Linked DNA regions of Caenorhabditis elegans. The protein of the gene in region 2 interacts with the protein of the main gene of each other region in a biochemical or structural test. Each region holds a gene or a part of one and is shown on either strand. Other genes may lie near its edges. The genes, in order: rde-11 and rde-10.

Region 1 (7,127 bases), on a different chromosome or scaffold from region 2:
TGTTGTTTTGAGTTGTTATTCCTTTTTTTTTAAACCCATTTTTTGCAGTCGATAAATCAGTTTTTTCAAATTTAATCTTAGAAATTTTGTAAAATTTTATATGTTTCCGTCTCATTTTCGTACTTTTCTTGTTCAAATCTTGATATTTTTTTAAAAAAATTGCAAATATCTAGAATGTGGAGCCGTGGATTACCCACGCTTTGCAGGACGATTCCGTGTCGTCAGTTTTCCGTCGCAGCTCAAAGTGGAGCTGGTCCTGCAGAAATTGATGGTAGGTGCAGATTTTTTTTGCTCTAAATGGCCAGAATTTTATTAAAATTGTCAAAAAAATTTCAAAAAATAGCTAATTTCCGCTAGAATCTCCAACTTGACCAACTTTAGAGCGGCCGGAAAATAATTTTAATTCGATTATTGTGCTACTTTGGTTTATTTTACGTTATTTCGTAAATTTAGGGTAATTTTAAGCAAATTTGGCTTTAAATGTACCAATTTTTACGAAAAAACATGTGATAAATGACCAAAATAAGACAAAAATTTAATAAAAGGGAAATTTGGCAAAATATTTGAAAAATTTTGCGAAATGTGAGATTTTAGCTAAAATCAAGTGTTTTTCGACATTTTTGAAGTTTCGCAATAAGCTTTTCGGGTTATTTTTAGTAAAAAAAAGTAGAATAATGCAAAAAACATCAAAAAATATTTGAATTCCAGATTTCCTCCATTCCATCGCCGCTGCTCCAACACAGAAGCTCGTGAAAAACAGAACTGTATTAGAAACTTCGACGGAATTTTTCAAGGTACTCAATAAGCTTAAGCTCCATTTAAATTGTTCAATTATTTAAGTGGCTCGAACAAAATCCCATAAAATCGATTGATCAATTCATCACAGCTGCACAAATGGCTATCACTGTGAAATCAACGGAACAAAATAAGGCGTTTTCGAAAATTGATGATATTGCGAAGAAAGTTCTGCCGAAATTCTATGAAAATTTTGGACCGAAGGAGACAGTGGATGCATTGCGATTTGTTTTGCAGCTGAATTCAAAGGGAAAAGTCTCGACGGATATTCAGAATTTGTTCCTTGAAAAAAGTATGATTTATCCAACAAAACTACTTATTTGAATATGATAATTCTACTTTTTTGATCTAAAATTGATTTTAAAAAATGTAGAAAAAGATTCGCTCCATCTGAAAATAATTTTTAGTTTTGTTGAAAATGAAAAATTGGAAATTTTGTTAGTTTTTTGATAATATAATGTTTAATTGACTTAAAAACACATTTTCATTTAAAAAAAATTCGGCAAAAATCGACGAAAATTAAGGAAACTCGTTGAAAACAGAAATCAGCATCTGATAAAGATTAAAATTCTCGTAAATCGACACATGGCTCGTCTCTGGCGCGAAAATTCGGCGTTTGAAAAATCTCATTTGGACGCAAGTGAAAGGAGAAAATTTGGAGTGATTCAAAAATATTTTTCTCAGATTTCGGTGCTCAACCTAAAGGTAGAGGTGAGGCCTAGTGGCCTTATTTAAATTTTTCAACAAAAAAAATTATTAATAATATTTTATCAGATGGAACGAATCCTTTTCATCAATTTTAGAAAAAAAAAAGTTGATTTTCAGTAGTATTGTGCGTTTTCCTAAACATTTTCCGAAAGATATTTCAAATAAAACGTAAAATTTCAGAAATAAGTCAATCCGATCTACAAACTGTTCCATTTGACACACTTGTGATGATCATTCGATATTCAAAATCTTCAATCGATCAAAATGTTATCGAATCTATTGCGACTTCATTGATTTCTAGAATCGAAAAGTAATTAAATAATTTAGATTTAAAAGCTCTATTTAATATCTAATTTTCCAGAGAACTGGCAAATCCTGCAGATCTCCTAGCAATTCTCGCCGGTGATGGATACGAAAAATCAAAATGGTTTCACAACGAAGCGTTCCTCAAAAAAGCCGAACGACTTGTAGCAGTAATGGGAATGGCTGAAAAATGTGCTCTTTTGAAGCATATGGCAGTGAATAAGCAAAGAAATCGACAGCTACTTGGAGCAATAATCAACGCGATTTCCAGTTCCAGTCAAGTTCTTACAGTATCACAAATTGTCAGTGTCACCGGCTCATGTTCTGCTCTCACCTATTATCCACCAAAAATTGCACGGAAAATCTCCAACGACCTCGAGAAAAATTCGAATGTTCTTGCTCAATGGGATGATGTGCTCAGCATTGCCGATTCATTTATTCGTATGAGAATGGGTGATCAAAAGTCATGGAATCTTCTTGTTCGATGGGCAATTGAAAATGTGAAGCAAGCACATCCGGCTCGATTGAGCAAATTTGTCTCCGGGCTCGCTAGAATTGGAGAACCATCTGGAAAACCGTTGGCAAAAGCGCTCAAACCATTTTTGGTGAAGGAAAAAGCTTCGACGCCCAACAATTGGCTGAATATCGTCTTTTCTCTTGCATATTTTCAAGAACTTGAAGCAGTTCATGCGGATTCGGTGCTCAATAAGAGTTTTGTAGATCAAATCATGAATTCAACAATGTAAGAAATTATTTGGAAATTGAAGAGGTGCAAACGCGCTCCAAATTAAAACACTCCGCAACTAAACGTTGGGTCTCGTTAGGTTTTCGGTTTTCCGATTTTTCCGAAAATTCAAAAATCAAAAATTTAGTTTTGCGACATTCCTAAACAAATTCGATTTTTTCGAAAATTGCTTAAAAATTTAGGATTTTTTTTTGAAGACAATGATTTTGATTTTTTTTCAAAATGAGCAAACAAATAAATTTTTATTATTAATTTTCGAAACATTTTCTAAAGATTTTTCGAAAACTCCGGAAAATCGATATGAATTTTATCTCAATTTCGACATTAAAATTATTAGAAAAAAAGTTTTTAAAAATTTTTTAAGTTAAAAGAAAAATATTTTTAAAAATCACAATATAAATTTAAAATGCTGGGAAACACGAAAAAAATGCCAATTTTTTTTTGCTTTTTCGGTTTTTGCTAGGGAAAACTAAAAATAGTCGATTTTGCAGAAACTCGAAAAAAATGCTGAAAATTTACCAAAAAATTCAAATTTTGTTTATGATGATGAAAAAACAACATATAATTTTTCCAAAAAAAGGCCAAAATGTGGTTTTTTTTCTCCAATTTTAGTTTTAAAAGTTGAAAAACTGACTTCCTTATTGTCAATACCTAACGAGACCCAAGGTTTAAGGGCGGAGTGTTTTCAAAAGGCATTTTTCTGCATCCCCATTTATAATATCAAAAATTGTCAATAATTTCCCAATTTTTCAGGGAAATTCACGATCGACTCCGAAAAGCGATGACTCTTCTAATGATCAGTTCAGCGGCTAAAGTTGATATGCAGGGAAAATACGAAGGACCAACAGTGAATAAGGAAACATTTGCTCGATTTGGAATCAATTTCGACGCGAAAACGATTCGGAACGCGAGGCAACTGAAATATTCGAGCAATCATTCAGAATGCGATCGATATTTTTTAAAGTCATTATTCAAACTTGCTCCACAAGATACTCATTGTCAACTTCCGAATGTTGAAGATTGTGGAGCTTTTGTCGATGCCTATGTTATGCCAGATCCGGTATATTATTTTCAATTAAAAAATATTTTTGAAAAAAAATGTTTTTTTTTTCAGAATTCCAACTTGCTAGTGAACACATCACAATGGGGCTCGAAAAAACCCAGGCCTCTATTTTTCTACGGATGGTTGCAAACTAAACAGGTAAGCATTTTCGAATCTCATAAAATCATATAAAATTCTAAATTTCAGAACACAGAAACGAGCGGCGAAATCAATACAGTTGGGCAAGAACAATTGGGACTTCGACTGATGCGTTCCGCTGGCTTCGATCCAGTAGTCGTCTTCAAAACGGAACTCGACTATTGCTCCACAGAAATTGATCAAGTGAATCTGCTACGGGATAAAATACATAAGAAGAATTAATTTTTTTGATAAAAGATTATATTTCTAGCGCCCCTAGTCTTTATTGTTTTGTTGTTATTCATTTTTATTCAATATTTTTTAGATTTGAGATTATAATAAAACAAATTTATAAAGGTTTCGATGAAATTTTAGAATTTTCTGTGAACTGTCTTTTGAACAGAATATGAATATTTTTGCGGGAATTTATTGTTTATTGATCAAATTTTATTTGTCTTTCCTGTTGGTTTTTTCTTCTATTTTTTCTTTTCTCTTGGGTGGCAATTTTCAGGTTTCAATTACAAATTTAAATAGTCTTATATTTAAGATCTTATCACGTGGTGTCAGAGTGTCTCATTTCGGTTTGATCTACATTGATCTACAAAAAATGCGGGAAAAGAGACGCAGAGTTCTCAACTTATTTTGGATGGTTAAGAACGTGCTGACGTCACTTTTTTTTCTGGCAAAAAATTCCCGCATTTTTTGTAGATCAAACCGTGATGGGACAGCCTGGCGTGATTATACGTGATTATATTTATACTTTTTTTTGTGACAATTTGATCTTGACCTCTGGAGGTCTCTACAAACGGTTTTGTCCACTTTCTAAAAGAAAAAACCGGGGAAAAACTAAAATTAAAAATTCACGCGCGTGACCCAATTTCGAGTGACATTCCGGCCCTGATCATTTCTTCTCTGATCATCTTTCTAAAATTCATTAAATTCATTAGTTTCTACATTTTAGTTCCTGAAAACTTGCTTCATTTCTTTTTCCAATCAACCAATAGGTCTCTTTTTTTTTAATTTTTCGATAATTTAAATTAATTTAATTACAGCAGAAATTTCAGAACATGAATGTTATCACTCCACCGTTTGCTGATGGCGTGGATCCAAAGCCCGTATGTATTGTCGCTGATGACATTTTCGAGACGATGACCGCCAGACGAAAAATCCATTTTTCAATTTACGTGATTTTTAAGGTAATTTTCGCCTTTTAATAGTTTCGATTTCGATATCAATTTCAAGAATTTAGAAAAACGTCGAGCTTGCTGAGCCATTTAAGCTCCTATACTACACAGAAAAGAAAAATGTTGCACATCTTGATGGATCCGTTGCACAGGATTTCGGACTCCCTATGTGGTGAGTTTTGGCGGAAGTGTGGAAGTGTTAACAATAGAATGTCTATTACAGGACAAAAGACGATGGACAGAGGGCGCCGGACCTTTCTCGACAAAAAAACGACTATATAAAACTGGATTTTTTCACAAATATCAATAATCCTGAAGATGGGTTTTCGTATTGGTAGGCGCCTGTTAATTTAAAAATGTCTAGTTTAAAATTCATTTTTCTTCAGCTGGACGGACTGTATCTCTACAAAAAACACGACGATGGTACCAAGACAACTAATGCCACCATCGAAACGATCAATGAAACTTTACCTGATTCTCCCGGTGGAAGAGGTGAGATCTAAGATCCCACAAATGCTTGATTAATAAAATTTGTATTTTTTTCCAGTCAAATATCATGGTGCTATCTGAGAAGGCATACGGATCACTCCAGCTCATGAAGAAACATCGGAAAATGGGCCAGCCACCTCAACGAGTCGGGTGCTACATTAACTTTAATTGCCAAACATCGAAAGTCATGTTCGGGTGTGGACACGTCTATTGTGAGCAATGCTTGAATTCTTGGAATGATAAACCCTGCTCCGTGTGCTTGAAACCGGGTTAGTAAAGAAGATTTTAGCAAATATATATATATATATATATTGCCTTGAAATTTCAGTAACTAGTGAACCAACTCAGCTCAAACTGCGGCAAGGTCCGTGTCCTTTCGATTTGTGCAGTCCAAACAGCAGTACTATGGGAATCGTTCTAATTCCATGCGGGTGAGAAAAAACTATAACGTTTTTAAAGAAATTAATATTGATATTCAGATGTCATGTGATGTGCCAAAATCTGGAGGATGCGTACGAACGAAACAAACACCACCTTGAACCACTTATAGAAAAAATCAAGTATTGTCCTTTCGAGCCCTGCAGGATCCGTGTCCGTAAACTCAAAAAGCCCTTCTGGCACCAACAAGACAAAGAGCACACTTTGGAAATGAACTCGGCCTAATTTTATAAATAAATCATGTACTGTAATTATTTTATTAATTAATACGACTTTTGGAATTTCAAAGAAGCTTTTTACCCTTTTTGTCAACACCAGACTACTTTTGTGATACTTTTTCATGTAAAATAACCACCCAAAAAAGTTTTTTCCCAACTCAAAAACCATCATTTTCCGATTTCAACCCACTGCTCCACGTGTCAAGTTTTGTCAATAATTGCCTTGTTTTAATAATTGTATTTTCCCCACAATTTCAAAATTGCTTTTTCTTCGCCACAATTCAATTGGTACTGATTTTTAATAAATGTTTCGGTTAGAAATTCATAATTGCTCGTATTTCACATCCAGTGTGTAGATTTTACCTCAGTTTTATATTTTATATGTTTTCAGAAACAAAATTGCCACAAATTTGACGCTCAAAATATCTCGTACCGAAAACTACAGTAATTCTTTAAATGACTACTGTAGCGCTGGTGTCGATTTACGGGATCTCGATTTTCGAAATAAATTGAAAATCATTTATTTATCGATAGAATATTAAAATTATGAGAAAAATGAGAAAATGATACGAAAAAAACTATTCGAAAAGAAATTCATTTCAAAAATCGAGCCGTCACAAAAAATCCAAAAAAATGGAATATCGTTGATCGAGCCCGTAAATCGGCACCCGCGCTACAGTAGTCATTTAAAGGGTTACTGTAGTTTTCGCTACGGGATATTTTGCGCGTCAAATATGTTGTGCAATACGCATTCTCAGAGTTTTATGTTCCCGTAATACATAAAGGCGCAATTTTTTATTGACATGGGTCTCACCACGAAAAATTGTTACTATTTGTAGAAACACTTTGGCTTTCGGTGCGCCCCCTTTTTATTTTTTGAAATACCATAAAATCTGGGGAAATTGGATAAAAACACAGAAATTTGAAAAATTCATTATAAAGTTCGCGGCGAGACCCATACAAACTAATCCGTGCGCCTTTAAATACAAGTTTCTGAAATCTGCTAAATCAGAATATTTTTAAATATATTTCAAAACCAAAAAAAATACGAGTTCAGATGTCCCGTG
Region 2 (7,127 bases):
GTGTTGGCGTAATAATACTTTCAACGAAATTCCAGTTCCTCGAGAAAAGCAAGACGACCCACGCACTCGGCCGTCCTGGAACTACATCCGAAGTAGCTGAAGCTATCCTATTCCTGTCCTCTGAGAAGAGCTCATTCACTACTGGACAACTGTTGAAGGTTGATGGTGGTCGAGGAATTATGCATCCGAGATAAAGAATATATGATTTATTGTTTTGAAAATTGAGAATGAAGTAAATTTGTACCAAGCAGACAGACAGAGTATATCATGTATAATACTATTAGTACAATTAGGATTTTAGAATGCTTATATTTAATACCATGAAATGAATGTGTGAGGGGTTTCCGTTTAGAAGTCGTCGAACTTGATTCTGAAATAATATAAAAACTATTAAAAATTTTTTATTATATACACTTACATCTTATATTTCTGTCCCGGTTTCACCGAATCCAGAATATTGAAATATTGATCCGCTTCGTTTCGATTCATGATATGACTGATTATTGGGGTTTCATAATCTTCAGATGGATCTTCGGATGGAAACGCGGAAAAACTGAAAATTAAAAAAAATTTATTTTCTTTAATTTACGACGAACCTTTTGCGTTCAGAATAAGCATTCGGACTATTTTGTGACGGGCGTGGAGCTCGCTGTGGCGACAATCGCCTTGGAGCCGGAACCACAACAGATTCTTGTTGAACATTTGGAGCAACATCTCTTGATCTTGCACTGGGATGCTCTGGCTCACGAACAGATGATGAGCTGATGAAGTGATCGTCTGAAATTAAAAATAAAAAAAAAATTAATTTTCAAACTTTCAAAATTCAGAATTTTCGAGAAAAATTCTTACTGTAAGAATAAGGAACATCAAGCTGTTCATTGTAGTTTTCCTCATCAGAATCTTCTTCGAAATCCAGTGGTTCAGATGCGAATTCGTATTGATCATGATTAGATGGACCTTCTTGATGGACGTCATATTGTTCATCGGTATCTCTCTGCCTGGCGGCGTAGACTTCGGCGTCATTACGGGATATTGTTCTTGCCAAGATTCTGGAAAAATATCTATAGACGCTCATTTAATTTTCGAAATTTCTGGGAACTGCAGAGAATGTTTTGTTTTTTCTGTGAATTTTAATTTTACTATTTTTGAAAAAAAAAACGAAAAATCGAAAAAATTTCGTAGTTCGATTTTTTGATTTTCCCTCAAAAACATCGAAAAATGGAAAAACATAAATTTTTTCGATTTTTGAAAAATCGACTTCTGGTCATTTTGGTATTTTTTCTTCTTTTTAGAATAAAATTTTATGTTTTTTCTCATCAATTTAGACCAAATTAAATTTTTAAAAAATCATAATTTATGGTTAATTTTTCTGGATTTAAAAAAAAAAGGTTTTTCGGAAAAAATTTAAAATCGAAAATTTTCTTTTTCGAAAACATTTCTTCTTTTTAGAATAAATTTTTATGTTTTTTCTCATGATTTTTTTTTTAAAAATCGAAAATCAAAAAAATTTTGATTTTTCTATTTTTGAAAAAAAAAACGAAAAATCAAAAATTTCTGTTTTCGATTTCCAATTTTTCGATTTTCCCTCAAAAATATCGAAAAATCGGAAAAATAAAAAAACGAAAATTTTAGAAAAAACCGACTTTTGGTCATTATGGTTTTTTTTCTTATTTTTAGAATACATTTTTTGTATGTTTTTTTCTCACCAATTTAGACGAAATTAGATTCAAAAAAATCATCTTTTATGGTTAATTTTCAGATTTTTTCTCCGATTTTCCGGATAATCGAAAAATCGAAAATTTTCGATTTTTTTTGAAATCGAGATATCGAAAATTTTTAGTTTTTTCGATTTGTCAAAAATTAGCTTATAATTTTTGGTATTTTCTTCTTTTTAGAATAAATTTTTATGTTTTTTTCTGATCAATTTAAACTTTTTTATGGTTAATTTTCTGAACTTATTTTTTACATTTTTGTATTTTCGGATAATCGAAAAATCGAAAATTTTCGTTTTTCCGTACGTTTGAGGCAAACTTGTGTCACTCCCGTCTTGAATGCAAATCTCATGAACTGGCGGCGAAATCACGAATCCTTGAAGCCGGTTCCCCTTTATTACAGTGAAAAAATTGTCTCTGTAAAATGTGTTTTATCTTGAAAATCACTGCAAAAAATGTTACAATAGTCTTGCATTATGAGCCTTGACGCAATTGTATTTCGTAGGCGATGGTTTATTCTCATGAAAACTGCAGAATAGGTTCAATTCAGTTCTGGGAATGAGAAAATGATATTGAAATTGATTACAAATATCAACATCTCTCCAGACACGGGGGACATCCGTCGGCGCTTTTTCGAGTATTACACTTGTAAAATCCTGAATGCTCAGAATACTAGGAATGATGACTTCTTGGAAGAATGTGATGGCATTGATTCCAGTGTAAGTGGCCAGAGTCTTGATTCCATAATATACAAAATTGAATTGAGCTCGATCGCATAGAATCGGAGATTTCGGATGCTGTTTTAAAAGGTGTTGAAGCCACTCGAAAACTTCATATGGTTCACAGCCATCGGCGGGTCCATTGGGCGAAATTCCCAGTTCGTCGGCTGAAAATTTTAAGCTACTGACCATTTATAGCATTTTTTTGGCAATTTTTCGGCAACATTCGATAAGTTTCGACAACTTTCGACACTATTGCAAAATTTTGACAATTTTTGAGAAGTTTCAAACAACTTTCCACAACTTTTCGAAAATTGTAGAAACTTTCGCCAACTTTCGGCAATTTATGACAACTTTCGGGAAATTTTACAAAGTTTTGGCAACATTCCCCAATTTCTCTTCAATTTTCAGCAAAATTTATAAATTTTGGCAATTTTTGTAAAGTTTCGCCAATTTTCGACAACTATTGCAAAATTTTGGCATTTTTTGAGGAGTTTCAAACAACTTTCCAAAATTTCTGGAAACTCTAGCCAACTTCTGCAAAGGTTTTGACAAAATTCGGTAAGTTTCGCCAATTTTCATTAATACTTTCGCTATTTTTGCAAAGTTTTAGCACCATTGTCCCATTCTCCAATTTTTAAAACAATTTTCAGCAACTTTTATAAATTTTTGCGAACTTTTTGAAAATATTCGGCAATTTTTGACAACTTTCAGTAACTTTCGTCAACTATTGCAAAATTCTGGTAATTTTAGCCAAATTTCGGCAATTTTTGTGAAGTTTTGCCAATTTTCATTTAATTTTCGGCAACTTTTGCTTATTATCGGCAATTTTTGCAAAGTTTTTGGCACCATTCTTCAATTTTTAAAACAATCTTCTGCAACTTTTCGAATTTTTTGCTACCCATTGCTTTTCTAGACAATTCCTCGTGCCCAATGTCATCTGCATCTGGATAAAACCAAGCTGCATCGAATTTGACGAATCTCGATTCATTCTGAATGATTCCATTCTTAAGATTGAATGTTGTAACGGATATCTCTGCAGGATACGATGAAAGCTTATTGATTGATGGTTTGAAGGCGTAGGCAACCGGAAATACTGAAACAATCTGCATTGTGTAGTCCTCGCAAAGCAACGGATTTCCAGGATCATCAGAACGCTGAGCAATGTATGAAGTCATTATTCGTTTCGCCTTTTTGCGATTTGCAAGACAAAACGCGTCGAGATCTTCGGTGATGTGAAGAACGTGATTTATATCTCTTGGCAACGCTATAACACTTGGAGTTTGGCTCAGTGTCTCCAAATGTGCACGTCGGAGCTGTTGGAACTCATCTGGATTTCGGTGGCGCATCTCACGGTTTCTCTGTGCTCTCTGGTGCTTTGTTTTCTGAAAAAAAAAACATAGTTTTTCTTTAAAGGTGGACTACGCTCAGTGGGGAAATTGCTTTAAAACACGCCTATGGTCCCACAATAACCGAATATCATGATTAAAAAATTCAAAAAAATTTTCTAGATTTTATATGATTTTTTGAAAATTGGAAAAATCACAGTTTTCACCTAATTATTTTTGAATTTCCGCCAATTGGATTTTTTCGGTGGAGCGTGCTTGCATTATTTTTTTTTATTAATTTTATTTATTTTCGTTATTTGACTGATTTTCTTCATTTTCTATGTTTTTTCTTCGGAAAATGAAAGAAATAAACAAGAAAATGCGAAATGTTTGTTAAAAATTAACTGAAAATGCGTAAAACTGTGATATTCTGAGTTCTGACGACGAAGAGCCTGAAATTAGAATATTTGACAGATTTAGGAAGTTTCAGTTAATTTTTAGTGATCATTCTTAATTTTTCTTGTTTATTTCTTTCATTTTCCGAAGAAAAAACATAGAAAATGAAGAAAATCAGTGAAATAACGAGAATAAATAAAATTAATTAATGAAAATAATGCAAGCACGCTCCACCGAACAAATCCAATTGGCGGAAATTCAAAAATAATTAGGTGAAAACTGTGATTTTTCCAATTTTCAAAAAATCATATAAAATCTAGAACATTTTTTTGAATTTTTTTATCATGATATTCGGTCATTGTGGGACCATAGGCGTGTTTTAAAGCAATTTCCCCACAGGGTGTAGTAAAATTTTCAATAAAAACCTACAATTACAAGCCCCCGATTTCCGTTGTGCTCGGCAACTTCTCGCTCGAATTTTTGCTTCAAATCAGGGCACATTCCCTGAAATCCGACATATTAGGCTTGAAAATAATAATTTTTCTTTATTTTTTTTACGTGATAATATCTTGTCATAATATCCTTGTCTGCCTGATCATTCTGATTGTATCGGTGGCCTTGCTCGGTCAGAAATCTAAACATCAAAATATCAAAAATCACATTTTCGCAAAATATATTCAGAAATTTTCCTACTTTTTCTGTCCTATCTGGCGTAGGAATAGCATGTAGACACTTTTCTTGCCGTCGACATGTTTTGCAACTGAAATCGGATTTCCGTTCTGGCGCACCGCATCTCCGGAGGTGCCGGCATTATTGGCTCGAATGCCCTCTCTGAAGAGATTTTTTAAAATTAATTGGGACAATATTTAAGGCAAACCTCTGATAATCTCTAAAATTAGATCTGTGATTTGACATATTCATAAAAATCAATTTTAGACGCTGGCAAAAGTCCGCAAAAGTCCTTGAAAATGTGCGCACCACTTGCAAAAATGCCGTGCCAGGGTTGCAATTATCGACTCCGCCCACTATTTCTTTTCGAATATTGAACGTGTTTTTTTCGGATTTTCAACACTTTTTTCTTATTATTTTTCGAAATTTGTGTTTTTTGTGTTTTTTAAATCATTTTTCATATTTTCAGACATTTTAAAATGGAAGAAAACTCGGCAGACATCGAAAACAGGCCGGTGGCGGCATTTCGGCCGGCAGTGTCAGTGCCAATGCCAGTTCTTCCGCAAGATGGAGAGGTAAATACTTTAGATTCGTTCAAATTAATGAAACTTTAAAACAAATTTTATTTTCAGGTGTTCGTAGGACCTGGAGGTAAGAAAGACGCTCAAAAAATTGGCCTTGGTTTATCGAAATTGAGTTCAAAGCGGAAGGATGATATTCAGATGGCGAAAAAGTATGCGATGGACATTTCAATTAAGCAGATTCTTCTTCGTCAGCAGAAACAGCAACAGGAGAATGTTAGTTTTATTTTTAAAAAGTAGAAATTATCGTAATAATCAATAAAATTTCAGCAACAACGGCAGCAAATGTACTCACAAGCTTTATCGATTATGTCCAGAATCTATGTTGGCTCAATCTCATTTGAAATCCGCGAAGATATGCTTCGCAGGGCTTTTGACCCATTTGGACCCATTAAATCTATTAATATGAGCTGGGATCCAGCTACTGGGGTGAGTTTTTAAAAAAGTCTTATTTTATTTTAAAATTCCGAAAGAATTAAGCTAATTTTATCTAAGGTCCTTTATTTTACCAGAAGTTTCCGTGTCAGAGCAGCTGGAAATTATTTTTCATTCGATTTTCATCTTTTATTGCAGATTTTGATAGTTTATCTCAATTTCTATCCAATTTTTGGTCATTTTTTGTCATCTATTGGCTTTAAATTTACTTAAATGAACAACTTAAATAAAAATATGCAATAAAAAAAATGATAATCGAATAAAAATTAATTTCCAAAAGCTGTGACACTTTTTTTTCAAATATTTGATGTTTTAAACGGAAGTTTTATTACGAATTGAGCATATTTTTAGTCTTAAATTAATAAATATTTCATTTTCAGCACCACAAAACGTTCGCATTTGTTGAATACGAAGTCCCAGAAGCCGCACTTCTTGCTCAAGAATCGATGAATGGTCAGATGCTCGGTGGACGTAATCTTAAAGTTAATTCGATGATGTTCCAGGAGATGAGATTGCCACAAAATATGCCACAGGCTCAGCCGATTATTGATATGGTTCAGAAGGATGCGAAGAAATATTTCAGGTAAAATGAGAAATTACTAGTTTAATTATTTTATTTAAAGTCATTTAAAAAATTTGGTGCTTTAAATGACAGAAAAAAGTAGAGACCGAATATAACTGGTTAAAAAAGTTTCTAAATTTTTTATTATTTTTTCAATTTTCAAAAATCAAAGAAACGTCCGAATTAAATTTGAATTCCCGCGCAAAGTTATTTTCGATATTTTGGCGTTTTCGGGCTAAAAACATCGGTTTACTTGGTTTGTCAGTTTTTCAGATTTTTCAGACACTTATCCGTGAATAAAATTCGATTACCCGAAAGTGGCGGAAATTTCAAAATTTGCCTAAAAATCGACAATTTAATAGTTATTTATAATTTTTGTTTCGGAAAAGTATTTCAAAATTTGAAAAAAAAACACAATTTAAAGGTGGACCACGCTTTAAAACACGCCTATGGTCCCACAATAACCGAATATCATGATTAAAAAATTCAAAAAAATGTTCTAGATTTTATATGATTTTTTGAAAATTGGAAAAATCACAGTTTTCACCTATTTATTTCTGAATTTCCGCCAATTGGATTTGTTCGGTGGAGCGTGCTTGCATTATTTTTATTTATTAATTTTATTTATTTTCGTTATTTGACTGATTTTCTTCATTTTCTATGTTTTTTCCTCGGAAAATGGAAGAAATAAACAAGACAAATGCAAAATGCTTGTTAAAAAGTAA

The links.
Region 1: the proteins of rde-10 (region 2) and rde-11 form a complex in vitro, tested with the Caenorhabditis elegans proteins (one study listed by BioGRID).

Annotation. Positions count from the first base shown.
Region 1 is NC_003282.8:13,100,542-13,107,668, forward strand, and holds rde-11 (RNA interference defective protein 11), read left to right. Parts: upstream 1-4,795; 5' UTR 4,796-4,798; coding exon 4,799-4,927; intron 4,928-4,980; coding exon 4,981-5,087; intron 5,088-5,138; coding exon 5,139-5,249; intron 5,250-5,301; coding exon 5,302-5,407; intron 5,408-5,462; coding exon 5,463-5,673; intron 5,674-5,732; coding exon 5,733-5,835; intron 5,836-5,883; coding exon 5,884-6,067; 3' UTR 6,068-6,386; downstream 6,387-7,127. Other genes in the region: fask-1 (RAP domain-containing protein), read left to right, coding at 175-271, 709-794, 841-1,087, 1,684-1,813, 1,865-2,548, 3,305-3,611, 3,666-3,752, 3,801-3,974; B0564.2 (Fe2OG dioxygenase domain-containing protein), read left to right, coding at 7,118-7,127. UniProt on the Caenorhabditis elegans protein: In complex with rde-10, required in the endogenous and exogenous siRNA pathway for biogenesis and accumulation of secondary small interfering RNA (siRNA) intermediates, such as 22G-siRNAs derived from ergo-1 targets.
Region 2 is NC_003279.8:3,545,071-3,552,197, reverse strand, and holds rde-10 (RNA interference defective protein 10), read right to left. Parts: upstream 5,128-7,127; 5' UTR 5,071-5,127; coding exon 5,033-5,070; intron 4,987-5,032; coding exon 4,849-4,986; intron 4,790-4,848; coding exon 4,714-4,789; intron 4,660-4,713; coding exon 4,585-4,659; intron 3,817-4,584; coding exon 3,333-3,816; intron 2,599-3,332; coding exon 2,175-2,598; intron 2,130-2,174; coding exon 2,019-2,129; intron 1,050-2,018; coding exon 850-1,049; intron 778-849; coding exon 597-777; intron 554-596; coding exon 419-553; intron 371-418; coding exon 349-370; 3' UTR 195-348; downstream 1-194. Other genes in the region: Y47G6A.21 (DeHydrogenases, Short chain), read left to right, coding at 36-194; Poly(U)-binding-splicing factor rnp-6, read left to right, coding at 5,304-5,399, 5,457-5,621, 5,676-5,834, 6,221-6,423. UniProt on the Caenorhabditis elegans protein: In complex with rde-11, required in the endogenous and exogenous siRNA pathway for biogenesis and accumulation of secondary small interfering RNA (siRNA) intermediates, such as 22G-siRNAs derived from ergo-1 targets.